Drosophila melanogaster: one gene and its partner. Changing the gene in region 1 together with any one later gene gives a genetic interaction. Each region holds a gene or a part of one and is shown on either strand. Other genes may lie near its edges.

Region 1 (9,530 bases):
TCGGTTCAACATAAAAATTTGTGTTTAATTTCGATGGTCAGGTAGCCGAAGCCGCAGGGAGCAGATCTTGGGGAGATCGGGGAGAAAAACCAGCTGGGCAGCTGGCCGATTGGCGGAGGGACCCAATGAACTAGTTTCGCCTTGGTATTTGGGTTACATGAAATGTTTGTGGCCAAACCAATGAGAGTTTAATGGCGTTTCTATTGGCGAAGGAAATAAAATCGTTTAATGAACTATGAAGGTTTGCTCTGTGGTTTGTTGTCCATTGGTCACCTAATGTTATAGCCAAGCAAAATTCATAAACATGTTTAGTTTTCCCATCGAGACGCTTTTTCTCGACTAAAACCAGGCAACTGAAACTTTTCACTATCCGCGTATACCGCCAACAGCAACTTCGGCAGCAAAACATTCATTTGTTTTCATGTACAGCCGAAGCCGTCGAAAGCTGTTCACAAAATGGTCAAGTGATTTCCACTGGCCAACACTTTCACAAGCTGGAAAAAAAAAGAGCGCCAAGAAGCGCTGCGGGGCTTCGAAGTGGGTGATGAGCGCAATTAATATTTAATTTGTGAATAGACAAGGAAAAGTTTGTTTTCCATTGCCGCAAGCTGATGGTTTTGTAACTGAATCCAAATGACTGAGTCCCAATGGTGAAATGGTGCAATGGGCCGCACCTCGGCAGAAAAACTCAATTAAATACACCCACCAACTTGAGTGCCAAAATGAAGTCAGCGGATTGTCAAACAGAAAGCAATGGTTGGTTTTAAATAAAAATAAAAACCTGCAAGGAATGATGGCACACCCATGATATCTTGAAGTGCTATCAAAACAGTAAATAAGTATTTAAGTCATGGGAATAAAAATAAGCAAAATATGCATGGAAACATAAACAAGTAAAGATTCCAATTTGTATCTCATATTTTTAGAACATTTATTTACTTCAAATATTTTAAAATGAATAAATATATCTTCCAATTAAGGCCAAGTCAACAGATCCTCTAGATATCTTCCCCCAGAGTATCACTATCGCACACAAAGACCCTCGCGGGCTCAGTATCAGTATCTTAATTCTGTTTTTTGGTTAGCGACTTTTTGAAACCGAAGACGTGAGCTGCGTGACTCGAAGACGCACAGCCGTCAAGAATGCAGCCAAAAAGGCAAGAGCGTCCAAGTTAAAAAAAAAACAGGTTACGAGAAGTATGCACACCGAGTCAAAAGTCAGACCAAAAGTCTGGCCAAGAGTCAGTTGGGGGGGATCATTGTGTTGGGATGGGTGTGTGTGTGTATGCGGTGTGAGGCGGTCATGTGAATTATATTTTGAAGATTCGGCAGCTTAAAAACGCAGATAGTCCGAAAGTGAATGGAGGAGGAGCTTGGGAGAATCGCAAGCGCTTAGATGGAAGTTGATAACTTGGCTGGATTACGAACGCAGCTCCGCTGGGCATTTCCACAGTTCCAGCTCACCTCACTAAGCCCGATCACCATTTTTCCATTTTGAACAATTGTCGACAATGACAGCGTCAAATGTGTTTTTGTTTTGACTCGCTTTTCCCGGCGAGTGAGCTCCACTTTTCCACACAATTCTCACAATTAAAAACATAAGAAGAAAACAGAAAACGCACACAACATGAAGCTGGCGATGGCGATGGAGTTGGAGAAATAAAGAAAATTTGTGGCAATTGTAACTAATCGACGAGCAATGGCTGATGGCGCCGAGAAAGCGCCCACCTTGGAAAACTTATGAAATTGTCAACAGCTTTTCAACATGATTAAGCTGCTTTTTGCCGCGAAGAAATAGAGAGCGCTGCAATGACCATTAATTCGCTTTTAGAATGAGTTTGGCATTTGAAGGCACTTTCACTGCCGCCGAGACGGAAGTTGAGAATCCCAATATAAACAAAAATTGAAAATCAAGATCCACAGTTTCGAAAACTTTCGTTGCCGGGAAAGAGTTGATGATTTGAAAATTATTAACCCAATCAAATGGCTATAATTATTTAATGATTTGATGGACGCCAGACATGCAGCAAATAGCCATCTCTATCTCTCTCTTTATAATAATTTACTAGCATGTCGGAAAAGATCTTGGTCCAGATCAGACCGCTGATGGATGGATCTCTCTTAAGACTAACGCCGACAACGCCCTGGCATTCCATTCTTTTAATGGCCAACTGACACTTGATATGCGGCAAGAGATTTGTCATTCATGTGAACCATGCGTAGGACCCATCAGTCCTAATAAACTAGACCCATAATACATTTCATTCCACTAATTTCAACTGACTTCTCGCACTTTCAGTAGGGATTTGAAGATGGGTCTTTACCTGGTATTGCTGTGAATTAAATTCTGGACGTACCCTTTGTTATTGCTCGTTTTTTAGGGTGTGTTTGTGTGTATCTACCTGCCGATACATTGGCATCAGCTGCCAATTATCAAACTTCGAGAAAAGGTCGAAGAATCTAATGCTGAACTCGTCATAGCCCAAATAATAGATGACTTTGTGGCGTTTCTTTCGGGGATTGTTTCCTGCGAAATGGTGGATTAGATCATACAAGTGAAACCGAAACCTTTGTTAGGTAAAAAATTAATTTGAATTAAATTTTCACGAGCAAGACTTTAAAAAAATCGGAGTCACAAAATAACTTTCCAACTCCATTCACGATTTTGTAGCAAAAGTTTTCCAGCGAAGCCCACACAAATCAAAAGACTTAGGCAACAAACTTGCATTCACTTCTCTTGCTTGCAATCCCTATTAAACTCTTAACACACATTTTAGCCACAACTTCCGCTTGTATGCTGTGAGCCAAATACCAATATACAAATTATGACTAAGCCATAGCGACTAAGGCATAAAGCACGCGCTAAAACAAGTTTTACTTGTTCCGATACCTTTTGCCAAGTTATGAAAATGACTTAAGTAGAACTCATCTCCGGAGAGAATCCCTAATCATGGCATGGCAATTTCCATAAAGCAACCAGTTTATTTATATTTGCCAAATAGCTTTGCCAAAAAAAATGAGCTACGATATAAAAAGCAAACACCGAATTTTTGTGGCTTGTTTACAAGTGTGATGAGGGCTTTTTGCATTTGTTCTGCTTTTCACTTTGGTCTGAGTGAAATTTTCTACTACTTCTATGGTTTGTTTCGGTTTCTGTTATTAAGCAACAACAACAACAGCGCGCCGAGTGCGTCTTGAAATTGAGGTTAACTGTTTGGGTAGCTCTCGCTTTTCGACTTTTCGATGGAGTTTTGGGGGTACGGGTATGGGTATGGGTATGGGTACGGGTATAGGGAAGCCGACTTGGCCTTTATTGAATGAATGTGACAACAAAGGCGAGTCAGACACGGCCGGCAGACAATCGAAGCATTTTTTAGGTTTTGTTTAATAGAAAGTAACAGAAATTGTTCTTATTGTTGTTCGGGTGTGCTACTTTTTGTGGATAAGTGGGAATCCATATGGGAGGCTTTATATGGAATACAGCATAACCACTCTCGATACGCCAATTGTTTGCTCAATCAATGGGAATCAATCAATTATTTAAACACAATTAAAACGAAGTTTCATTGCAAATCGTTGGATAAAACGAAAGCATGGCATTGTTTATGGCTTAATTTGTATGTAGACATATGCATAATTAATCGGATTTTTGCGCAATGACTGAAGCCAAAATAAGGCGTGTCTTGAGATTGGCTTTTAATTCATTTGGCTTACTGATTGATAGTTATGAGGTATTATAGAGTGATGGTATGCAATGATGTCAGCTTAAAAGCAGAAGAATATAACGTCATTGGTAGACTAATACTTATACTTAGTATTCAATCCAACCCGCATTTCCACTCTACACTTTTTACTTTGCCACTCTTTTCCGACTCATTCGCTGCCATTTCAATATGCAACTCACCTCTTATAAATGCAGCTTTAGCTGTATATAACCACTATATATGTTCGATACGTATCGTTCGCGACTGCTAGTATTCCAATTTATGTGGCATGTCAGCTGGTTATCCTTGAGGTCAACAAAAGCGACAATAACGACGGTTTCTTTCCCTTTCGCGACGACGGCGGTGTCAGTGTTTTTTATGGCAACTTATTGGTGCGGTTTTCTTTTTATTTATTTAAACTTTTAAATGTACAAGGCCAGTGTTGCACTGCTGGTAGATATTTAAGTTGATTAAAAGTTTTAAAATAAAAGCTGAGCTAAACGAAAACGCGTCACATAAATGTAATTTATGATCGGATAGCCTGACTATCTATAGTTTGTCTAATGGGGATGGGTCTGTTTAATTATGCATGCCGTGGCAGAGATCCGAAACAAGTAAGTCCAAGAATTCTCGTCTGAAGTCGCAGCACGTCTTCGAAATGTGTTGGGAACATTTTGGGATTGAGTTCACAAAAATGTTCGAAGAAATATTTATGTTAATTAGGTGAAAATCTGGTGAGGATAGTCCAAGAAGTATTCCTATTGAGATTTTGGGTCTCTACGATTGGACAACCAAACAAATGACTTAAGACACGAACTTTTTGTAAGTCAAAAATGTTGTTGGTTTCACTTTAACCCCAAAACTGCATTCTATATATTTTTTTCTGTTTAGTTTTTGTGGTTGTTTCTTTTGGCCATTGTGCAAAACACTTGTTGGCCAGTTTCTGGTAGCAGTTGTGGCTTCTTTTTCCGTAAGTTTGTTATTTCTACCCGGTTAATGGGAGCGTAAATGCGCAGCTGGCATGTGAAGTGAGTACCCGAGTGTGTTACTCCCGATGGATGGACTACTTACTCACACAAGTAGTCTAATGTCAGTTGGCAAAGTAAAGTGCAAAAGGCACAGACAAGTTAATGGACTGGTAAAAACCGAACGGCTGGCAAAGAAAACAGGGAGAACAAATTATACTAGAAGTTCAACAACTCGGCTAAAAACAACATAAAATTATTATAGCGGACTACTGCTGACTTCCTATCCTTCATTTGATAAAATAGCTAAAGAAATTCTCGCATTAATTTGTCGTATCTCTACCACTCTTGCATTTAATGTTAGTTATATATTCACTGATTTCGTAGTATTGTCCTCTGTGTTGCAGTTAATCTATTACACTTTTTTTTTTTTCAATTTAAAATTCCTCTTGTTTTTTGCTGCTTCGCATTTAATGGTCAGTTTCCTCATAGAGCACACACGATCCAAGCACGCGCCTCCATTAAAATGCACAGAAATCCTTTTTCGCTAGCCAGCGTACAACGAACACAGGCACAAAATCAAACACTTTGCTGGGCAAAACAATCGAATAAAATCCAGTTTCGAGGCAAATACATTCACAAAATGCACAAGCACTTATTGTTATAGGACACAAAGAGATCTGCAGATCCGGGGAGCGCTTACTGTACCATGTACTGTACCACACGAAGGCCAAACTCAGACTGAAACTTGTTCAGCAAATCAACGCGGTCTGCACCTGAAGTTTCAGTCCACGCACACACACATACACACACTCGTCTACACTCGCCCAAAGACCACAAGACACGACAGCAAAAATGGTAAGAAACTGGCGAAGAGCGGGCCAGAAAGCAGAAAAAAAGGTAGAGAAGAGAGGTAGAGGCGATCGGCAATAGGTAGAAACGTAAGACTGCGAGGCGAGGAAAATAAAACAGCTTAACGTGCCCGTTTTACAGATTTTCCTATGGCTCACTGTATATGTATATCTAGCCTCATCTCGCCAGACTTCTTAACGGCTTTCGTTCGCTCACACTTACTCACTCACTCACTCACTGCCGTACTGAAGAAAACCCAGTCGAATCGATACATACACTTGTCTAGAGTTCGGGTTCGCCGCAGCCTCTTAACGTCCACAACGCGCCACAGTCGAAGGCATACTGAAGCCCCGAAAAGCTTCGTATTTCTTAGGTTTTTTTCACATTTCTATGGTTATCGGTCGGCGAAAAAACAACCGGCATACCGATCGTTATTCGCCGCCGTCGAATTCGGCCGAAATGATGGCTCGGTAATCTCAGCCGGCACTGCGAATTCGCCGCACAAACGCTACCTAACCGATGTTGGCCAAATGCGTGGGCTACACCGCCTAGACGGGATTAGCTGCGGCGTCCTTGTTTCTTGGGAAATTTCGTTTAATTGCCGAGGACATGTGAAGTCGGAGGTGGGTTTTTACCCTCCCTTGATTTTGGGTTGCTTGCTGTTTTCAAACATTCGCACGCAACGGAAGCGGTGGCCGAACGAAAGACTCAAGCAACGAACTTGCTAAAAGGGTTGGCTAACAAAGTAGAGAGCACCATAAAAGTGGGATTGTTACACTTGGCCCTTGGAATCCTTTGGCACTTCTTGCTGCCTCTGTTTGGTTACACACTGCTCTCTCTTGTCCCATTATTTTTTTTATGAAGTCATAAACTGTGCAAAACGTGCGAAATGCTAAACGGAAATGGAATCTACAAATGATCAACAAAAACTACTCATTTAATAGTTAGGGTTATTGCAGGTACTTTTTCAAATCAAGATTATCTTCTCTTTTAAATAACTTCTAAAATTTCTCCCGCAAGTTATCCTTTTTTGTGTGTATAGTTTTCAAAGTGCTTCAAGGATATTCATTGTTTTTAGTATCGATGGCCATTAGAAGATCTTATGCCTTTTTATATTTTGTTCGTATATGTAACCTTACGTCACATCCGTCGCTAAAAGGAATTTCGCACTCGTTTCTTAGGAATTCTATAGAATTGCGCACAACAATTACTATTTATGGTGGGATTTCCCAACCCGAAGGATTTCTATTAAGGAACACTTTATCTCTGTGTGGATGAAGAGTCCAAAAAGGCAAATTGAAGGGGCTTAAGAAAAATTTTGATAACAGTGAGAAACCATCAATGAAAAGTCAGCTGGGATTCTTAGACAAAAAATCAATTCTATATTTGTGGTATGTAAATGATTATTCAATGTTAACTCAATCTTAACTAAATACCATTGTTTGCACTTGGACCTGGTTAAAACCAATTAACTTAGCCGATGAGAATAGCCGAATTTAGAGTTAATTAATTTTAGTTTATCATTCCTTTAACAAGAATGATTTATTAAGCTTTTCACTTCCTTTCTTTTCAAATTAAAAATAAATGCTTGTAAACAGATAAAACGAAAATGATGATAAATAATGCACTGCTTCCAGTAGAAATATAAAGCAGATAAATCGATCCAATTTACACATCCACTGGAATAAAACAATTTAATTATAGGGTACACGCGATCATTAGACTCCCATCTATCCATTTTCGAATAAGTTTTTACTTCCTTCTCAAAAACAGGTCATGATTATTATTTCGGTGCAATTAAAATGTGTCTTGACTTCTTAGGAAGTAGAAAAGGAAATTTAGTTTTCCTAATGCTAAAGCATTAGTTAAGGGAATATGAATAAAGGGAACTATCTAATTACATTTAAAACTTGTTTAGTTTTACAATTCCTTTTGAAAACACAAATTCTTTCCAAATGACACCTTTTATTCTACGCTCCGTTAATCAACAAACAAACACAACACTGCTGCAGGTCGAATATTAAAATAAAAGGCAATACCCTTCCTTAGACGGAAATGTAGACAATTGCAAGCCAATTGAAGAGGGACGATCAGACGGTTGACAAAATCAGTCGTTTGAGCCAGCAGAACGGAAGTTCCATATAGGGCGCACACTCAAATATTCCGATGAGGGTTTTGGATCCGCGTTTAGGTTCTGGGGCGTGCCTGTCCCAATTTGGCCGGAGAAAGTCTTGAAATTTCTATCAGAATAATGTCGTATTCCATTTCCGAACACACACTAAAATCAGTTACCGAAATAAAAACACAAAAATGCCATTTCGTGGAGACAACTTCAAGGACTTTAAAGAAATAAATAAAATTCGAAAGGAGAACAATAAATACAAGTACATCGCTGTTTTCATCACAGTTATACCCGGCATTATATTGGGCGGATTTATGGGCAAGAAATTGGCCCAATTCCTCGAAGTATTTGATCTTTATGCGCCCGATGTCTCGGAAGATGATTAATATAACAACCATGGCGCATATGGAACTTCTACATGGTGAACCAAATGAATTTGGAGCAAACTTGTGCATATCCTGTTTGGATATATGCTAATGTGCCAATCCAAACAGGCCAAACGGGATGCTAGGAAAGAAAACTCAACGCAAACAACTGCCCAGACCGGTAACCAAATTCAAAGCAGGGTAATAAGTGCACAGATCAATTGAATCATAATTAGTGCAAAGAGCTCAAAATCAAACAAGTTTTTAACAATAAATGTGCCTTTTCATTCATGTATTTAGAATGGTTTCTTTCTAGGGAAGGTGTCCATTTCATATTAAGCATCTTACCCAACGTCAGCTTTATATTTTATAATTCAAGATTTTTTAGTGTAGGTCGCGCAATTAAATAATTTTTAATTATGACACAATTACCTAGAACAAACGCGAGTTTCCAGTCTATGTAGAGCATGAATTGTAGTTTGAATTGCAGATGAGCGTTGCTCGCCCGCAGATTTGGTCATCGCCAGGCTTTAATTGCAACTAGTAAGTGTGGAAATTTGCTTCTTTAGATTTGGGTTAGACTTTCATTTAGAACAAGCACGCATACATTTAACAAATTTCGTATACTAACATGCTAAATATGTGCACACATTTATCAGTACTCGTACACCTAGCTTATATTTTTATTTTGCCATTCTTACTTTTAAATATTTCTTGGTTCTCAAATATTATGATCTCAAAAAACATAACGTTTGGCATAATTCAAATAATTAAATTTGATGCATCCCTGGAGTGACTATAACGGCTAAAATACTAAAAATGTCTTGCAGTATTTTTATACTACACCTACACCTACAAAACAAAACAACTATTATCAACAGCTGATCGCACGAAAAACATAAACAAATGGTTTAGGTTGTAGAATTTCCTTTAATGTCAGACAGCGTAGCTCGAAAATTGTTTAGAAAATAACTCCATAAAGTGTAGTAAAAATGTGGTTGGCTGGGAATCTGTTCAAAGGATCCGTAGCAATCAGATTCGGTCGCTTGCTGCATCTCAAGCGCAAGGAGGTTTATATGGTGAGTACAAGTTGTCTCAAGATTTCTAGCATTTCGAACCATTATGCAATATTGCACCTGCTATCTTTAGGAATGCTTCCGCATCCTGGGCGTTCACGAATCAGCTGATCAGAATACGGTACGCCACGCCTACTTGGATCTGGTGAAACGGGTGCATCCCGATTCGGGAACGGAGGAGGCCAGTGCCGAACGCTTCCAGCAGGTGGACGAGGCTTTCCGTGTGCTGCAGGAAAAGTTCGCCAAGGGAAGGCGAAACATTCAGGAGGACGAGGAGGGGGCCATGGAGTTTGACATCAAGCATACGGCGCCGCAGCACCGGCAATATCTGTCCAACGAGGGCATCGGAGTGGGAACTCCATTTCAGCGGCAAAAGCAGTACCAGCAGGTGCGCGCCATGAAGGCTCAGGAACGCGTCCTGGAGCACCGCATCGACAAGGCGGCTG
Region 2 (4,963 bases), on another chromosome or scaffold:
AACGTTCATATATGGGTACATGGGATCGAAGCATGATGAGCAGGGGCAGGGGATCCGAACTGCTTGTGCGTGGGCCGCTCTGGCATTGTTATCCTGCCGTGCCATCTACTCGCTTATTGTTTCATCAATGCCAGCAGACGATGATTGTATAAGCCCCTACTCCTGCTCCGACCTCCGAACTGCGAACTCTGAGATCTCCTCTTTCCGTTCCCACAGTGCCCCGTCGACGAGTGTTTATTGGACACAATTAGTGGATGTGGCATATTGGCTTCGTGCCGGGTCGCCTTGGTTGTTCGATCGTTCCATCGTTTGGGCTGTCTGATCTCGGGTTTTTGGGTGGTTGGCAGGGGGACGTGGGTCAAACGGGCGCAGAAAGTGTGCCCCGCGTGCCACACTCGTGGCCGAGGTTGAGTACTCAATGCCCAGGCTGAGGTGAGGTGGGCCTTGTGCCGGAATGTCTACCTATGGGATGCACATAGTTAACTTCCTGCAACCCCCTAATTGGTAATTAGTAATTTTTCACCGGTTAATTGATGTGCACTTTTCAAATATCTTGTCTTATGGTAAATGTGGTTTGTTCAATGTGTGGCTCATCCTAATAAGATTGTTAAAGTAATCATAGGATACAAAAGTTTTCTTTGAATTTAGTTAATAGGAACTTATAATGTCTGGCGTATCTTTCTAAACCCATTTTTAATTAGCTAATATTAAGTGCTTTTGGTTTCGGAATCTTGGGTTTCGCATGCAAGTATGGTGTATTAGAATTCCATTGAGTAAATTTCACTTTCGAGTTAACTTTTATAAACTCTGTTTCTATTAGGAAACTAATCGACCTCTGACATCGATGCCTACCTATGGGATTTGTGTCCCTCCCTTGCAACCGCCTAGGGTATGCTACTTCCTCACTTAATAATTGAGATGGATTTGTATATCTCCCTTACAAATCTTGAGGGTTCTTAATATTGACATTTTATGGGTGGAAAACAACGTCATTGATTATTGTAATGGGGAGGGATACTCTCACTTCTTATAGTATTTTGGGTGTCAGAGGTTAATAATGTGGTATGAATTTGGAATTGAATACACTTACCTATGATTTTACGTAATGCTATTGCAACCCTCAATATGTGATGTAATTTAATTGATTAATTGTAAAAGAATAAATTTTAAGGGATTAAATATAATAGGGTATAATGTGTGATAAGTAATCGAGACGCGTGCTGAAACTCATTTGTATGTTTCTTGACCATTCTTATTGACCTTTTATTGGTGGAAAAATTATAATGCCGCATTTAAGGTTTATAACAATGTATTGTATTGTGCTAAAGGATGTCAAATACTTTCATTTCATAGTCTGTTGACAAAATAGTTACTGAAATAGAATATAAGTAAACACATCGTGCAAATGAAAAATAACGACCATTAAAAATATGAAATTAAATTCCTTTTTATTATTAAATGCATGCTTGACAACTAAGTGCACATTAGTGGAGCATGTTTTGCTATTATGTTTAACTGTTATTGAAACTTGTTATTAATATAGCTCGTTTAGGATAATGATGGGCTTTAAGATAATGAACATAATTTATGGGAAGTCCATTTTTTTACACGTGTCCTAAATAAGCTAGTGCACACGATCGTTTTATTATATTGGACCTTAAAGTTCGCGCATACCAACATTAAATATTTTCAATGGAATCTTCTTCCTATTGGAATTTAAAGACAAATACTGAAGTTCAATATCCCCTATTGGATTGTGCTGTAAAATAGATTCCCCAAATAATAAGATTCTTGTATAATTTCATTTCATATTTTGATTTGTATTTAAGTTTTTCATTTTGTATCTTTTCATATTGTGTTCTTGAGATCTCTTAGCTGGTAAACATTTGTATATATGTAGAGTAAAAAACAGACTTCTGCTCGATTGATTTAAGACAAAAGTTAATAAAGCGTGCCCTATCACAGACTTAACTTAGAAACCTAAAACTTGGTAACGTAACAAATAAATGAGGATCATTGTAAAGCATTTTTTCTAAAGCTGCGGTTCCAATTGCGTGATTGCCCGTCGGGAATTCAGTCCTTCCAAGTAGATCTTTGTTTACCAGGGACGCCACACCTGTCCGGGGCTGCTGATCTGGAGCAGAGACTCGTTGTCGCTGGCATATCCACTGGAAACGGGACTGATGGAGGAGCAGGAGCTGGCACTGGAGTAGGTGCTGGAGCTAGAGCTGGATCCACAGACGATACTGAGTGGAGTGTTGACGGCTTGCGGTTGTTCCATGGGCTGCTCCAGTTGGTTGAGACGCATGCCCAGATGGGTCATCAGTGTGGTTCCAAAAGCCACATCCACTCGGGGAAGGGAGGCCAGGGCGCGGGACACTTCGTTGGCTGCCCGGATGTATCCAGCACGGAAACTCTGTTCGGGATTGGCCGGAACATGCTTCTTAGACTCTTTCAGCTTGCGGAGATGCTGCACGGTGACTTCCAGGATGTCGGCCTTCTCGAATTTGGCATCGCCAGTCTGAGCAACGCACTCGGCCATCAGATCCTTGAGCTCGTCCAGGCACTTGTTGATCCTGGCACGACGCTTCCGCTCCAGCAAGGGCTTCATCACCTTGCGGTACTGATAGGTTTTCGACATCTCGTATTTGGTGGCCATTGTGTGTTTGTTTTGTTTATTTGTTGCGTTTAGGTAAATGGAAGAACGACTTGTTGAAGAACTTCTTCGATCTTTCGGAGGAGGTTATCCTGAGATGTTGACTGCACGACGATTGCGTTCGAAATGTTGCATTCGTCTCCGGTTACCGCTGCTTTTATAGCTGCACGTGCCGCCGCGAGAGCGTCTCGTGCTCAGCGCACGCTGCTCGGAGAAAGAGAGAAGAGAGAGCTGCGGAGCCTCCGAAGAACCACCACCTGCGGAGCAAACTACTTTTACTCAGTCACTGGGACACGATCCTCTCGCCTGCATTTTCGGTGGTGGGTTTTTCTCCACAAACAAGTTTGGAACACACCTGCGGTAAAAATAGTATGAGAAATGTGTTTAAAGCAGCTATAGTTCTTCGAGCGAATATACAAATTTGTTGTTATATACCTAAGAAGTACGTTACGTTTTTAACAATTACTTCAAATGGGTTTCCCTTAAAGCACTTAAATGTCGTTTTATTAAACAAAAAGAAATTAACATAATGTTATACGTTTACACCTAAAAAATTAAATTAGCACACTTCTTAATAGTAGTGATTTTGAAAATATAAACATTATCTAGAACTTTAAATATGTTCTCAGTACTATTGCTATGGCCACTGGTGTTCGGTGTAAGTGAGTCTCGGCAGGGGATGAAGATGCGATAGTGCAGTGGTGGTGGTGCGACGGTGGTTGCACATGCTGCTTCTCTGTTTTCCTTTCCACTGACATTCGAATCGTGGGAAACACTTTGCCCTCAAGTTTCCCACAAGATTTTTCTCGCTCGTTGGTGTTATAAGTTATAATCGGAGGTAGCCCGTGTGCGAGTCCCGAGTCCGAGCTCCGAGTTCCGAGCCCTTATGCACATGGCACAGTGGGCCAAACCGATGAAACACATGCGGGAATTTTGAGGGTGCCTTGCTTGAATGAATTCTTCAAGGCTTTTCCAACTACGTGAAATTTAAGGTTTACGGAATTTACGCATACTGTTATCTACTTGCTAGACAAAGTTTTAGCAATTTCTGTAGGGATCGTGGGAATGCGAGTTTTGGGATGTCGGAAATGGGGTTTTCCAAGGCGAAGATGTGTGCAATTTTGGGACTCGCAGGTTTGGAAATCAGTATCTTACGGATTTTTTGTTGCCTGTTCTCAACTTGCTACGGTTAATTTGAGAACCTCTATTCAAAGTCGTGGGAATGTGAGTTTTCGAATGTGATTTTTGGGGTTTTACCAAACGGAACATGCGTGCAATTTTACGACTTGCAGGTTTTAGAGTAAGTGTTTATGGATTTCTCGATGTGTTTCTACTTGTAAAGAATTTTTACTAAACTATCTGCTATGTTGGAAAGGTACATTTGTTCCTAGAGGTTTTTCTAGGCATATATAGTCCGAGTATAGGGACTTTTGTGAAAGGTGTTTTCTACTTGCTACGGATAATTTTGTTAGCTGCGACGGTGAGTGGGAACCTGAGTCTTGAAAAACATTAAGGTTCGTGAAGGTTGCAGTTTACAGAATATCTATGTATGGGATTACTGTACCCAGATGGGTGAAATAAAGAAATATTTGGAAAAGATGTTCTTGTCAGGTTATGATGTTTAAAAAATTTCTAAAAAAAGAAACCATTTTGTAGTTTGTAGCTAAAAGCATCTAAAGATTGTGACAAGACCCTAAATTGTTTTCAACCAATTTTCGTTCCATTCGAACCACTGTAAATCTGACCGAGCTGCTAGTGCGAGTCACGGGTAGTGCTGAAAAAACTACCACCTGCCCTTTATTTTATTTAATTTTTTCTTGTCCATCGTGGGCCCTACACATATCGCCCTCTCCCTCGCTCCTGCTCTTGTCAATTATGAATGCTGAATTGTAGCTTCTGTTGAACACTTGGGCCCTGGGTTTCGTTTCGGATGGCATCGGTTGGGATCGTCCATCGCTAAGTGGCATACATATACGCGTATGGTATTCCTGCTCACGTCGGGACATCATCATCGTGGGACCCAGGTCCCAGAAAAAGGGATGATTGTTCGATGGATCGACGAGGGACATGCAAACTAAATGACTGTACGGCAAATTGACACACACTAAAGATTAAATGTATCGCATTCGTTAACTATATAAACAATATACGTGGCCGGTTTGAGGAACGCTGGCTGCGGCAGGAAGTGTGTGTGTGCAGTGCACTGCGTGCTGAGAGTGTGCTGAACAACGGGCCGTTACAATTTTTCTGGCGACTGTGAGAAAATTTCTCGAGCTGCACATGGCCAGCTCCGGGCTTTTGTTGTTG

The links.
Region 2: of uif (region 1) and E(spl)m7-HLH, changing one suppresses a phenotype caused by changing the other (phenotypic suppression), as found in Drosophila melanogaster (one study listed by BioGRID).

Annotation. Positions count from the first base shown.
Region 1 is NT_033779.5:7,004,496-7,014,025, forward strand, and holds the start of uif (uninflatable), read right to left. Parts: upstream 5,865-9,530; 5' UTR 5,798-5,864; intron 5,415-5,797; exon of another isoform or gene 5,378-5,414; intron 4,155-5,377; exon of another isoform or gene 4,152-4,154; 5' UTR 3,905-4,151; intron 1-3,904. Other genes in the region: CG43321 (uncharacterized protein), read left to right, coding at 7,832-8,029; CG43322 (uncharacterized protein), read left to right, coding at 9,001-9,087, 9,158-9,530.
Region 2 is NT_033777.3:26,034,859-26,039,821, reverse strand, and holds E(spl)m7-HLH (enhancer of split m7, helix-loop-helix), read right to left. Parts: upstream 2,785-4,963; 5' UTR 2,660-2,784; coding exon 2,099-2,659; 3' UTR 1,803-2,098; downstream 1-1,802. UniProt on the Drosophila melanogaster protein: Participates in the control of cell fate choice by uncommitted neuroectodermal cells in the embryo. Transcriptional repressor. Binds DNA on N-box motifs: 5'-CACNAG-3'.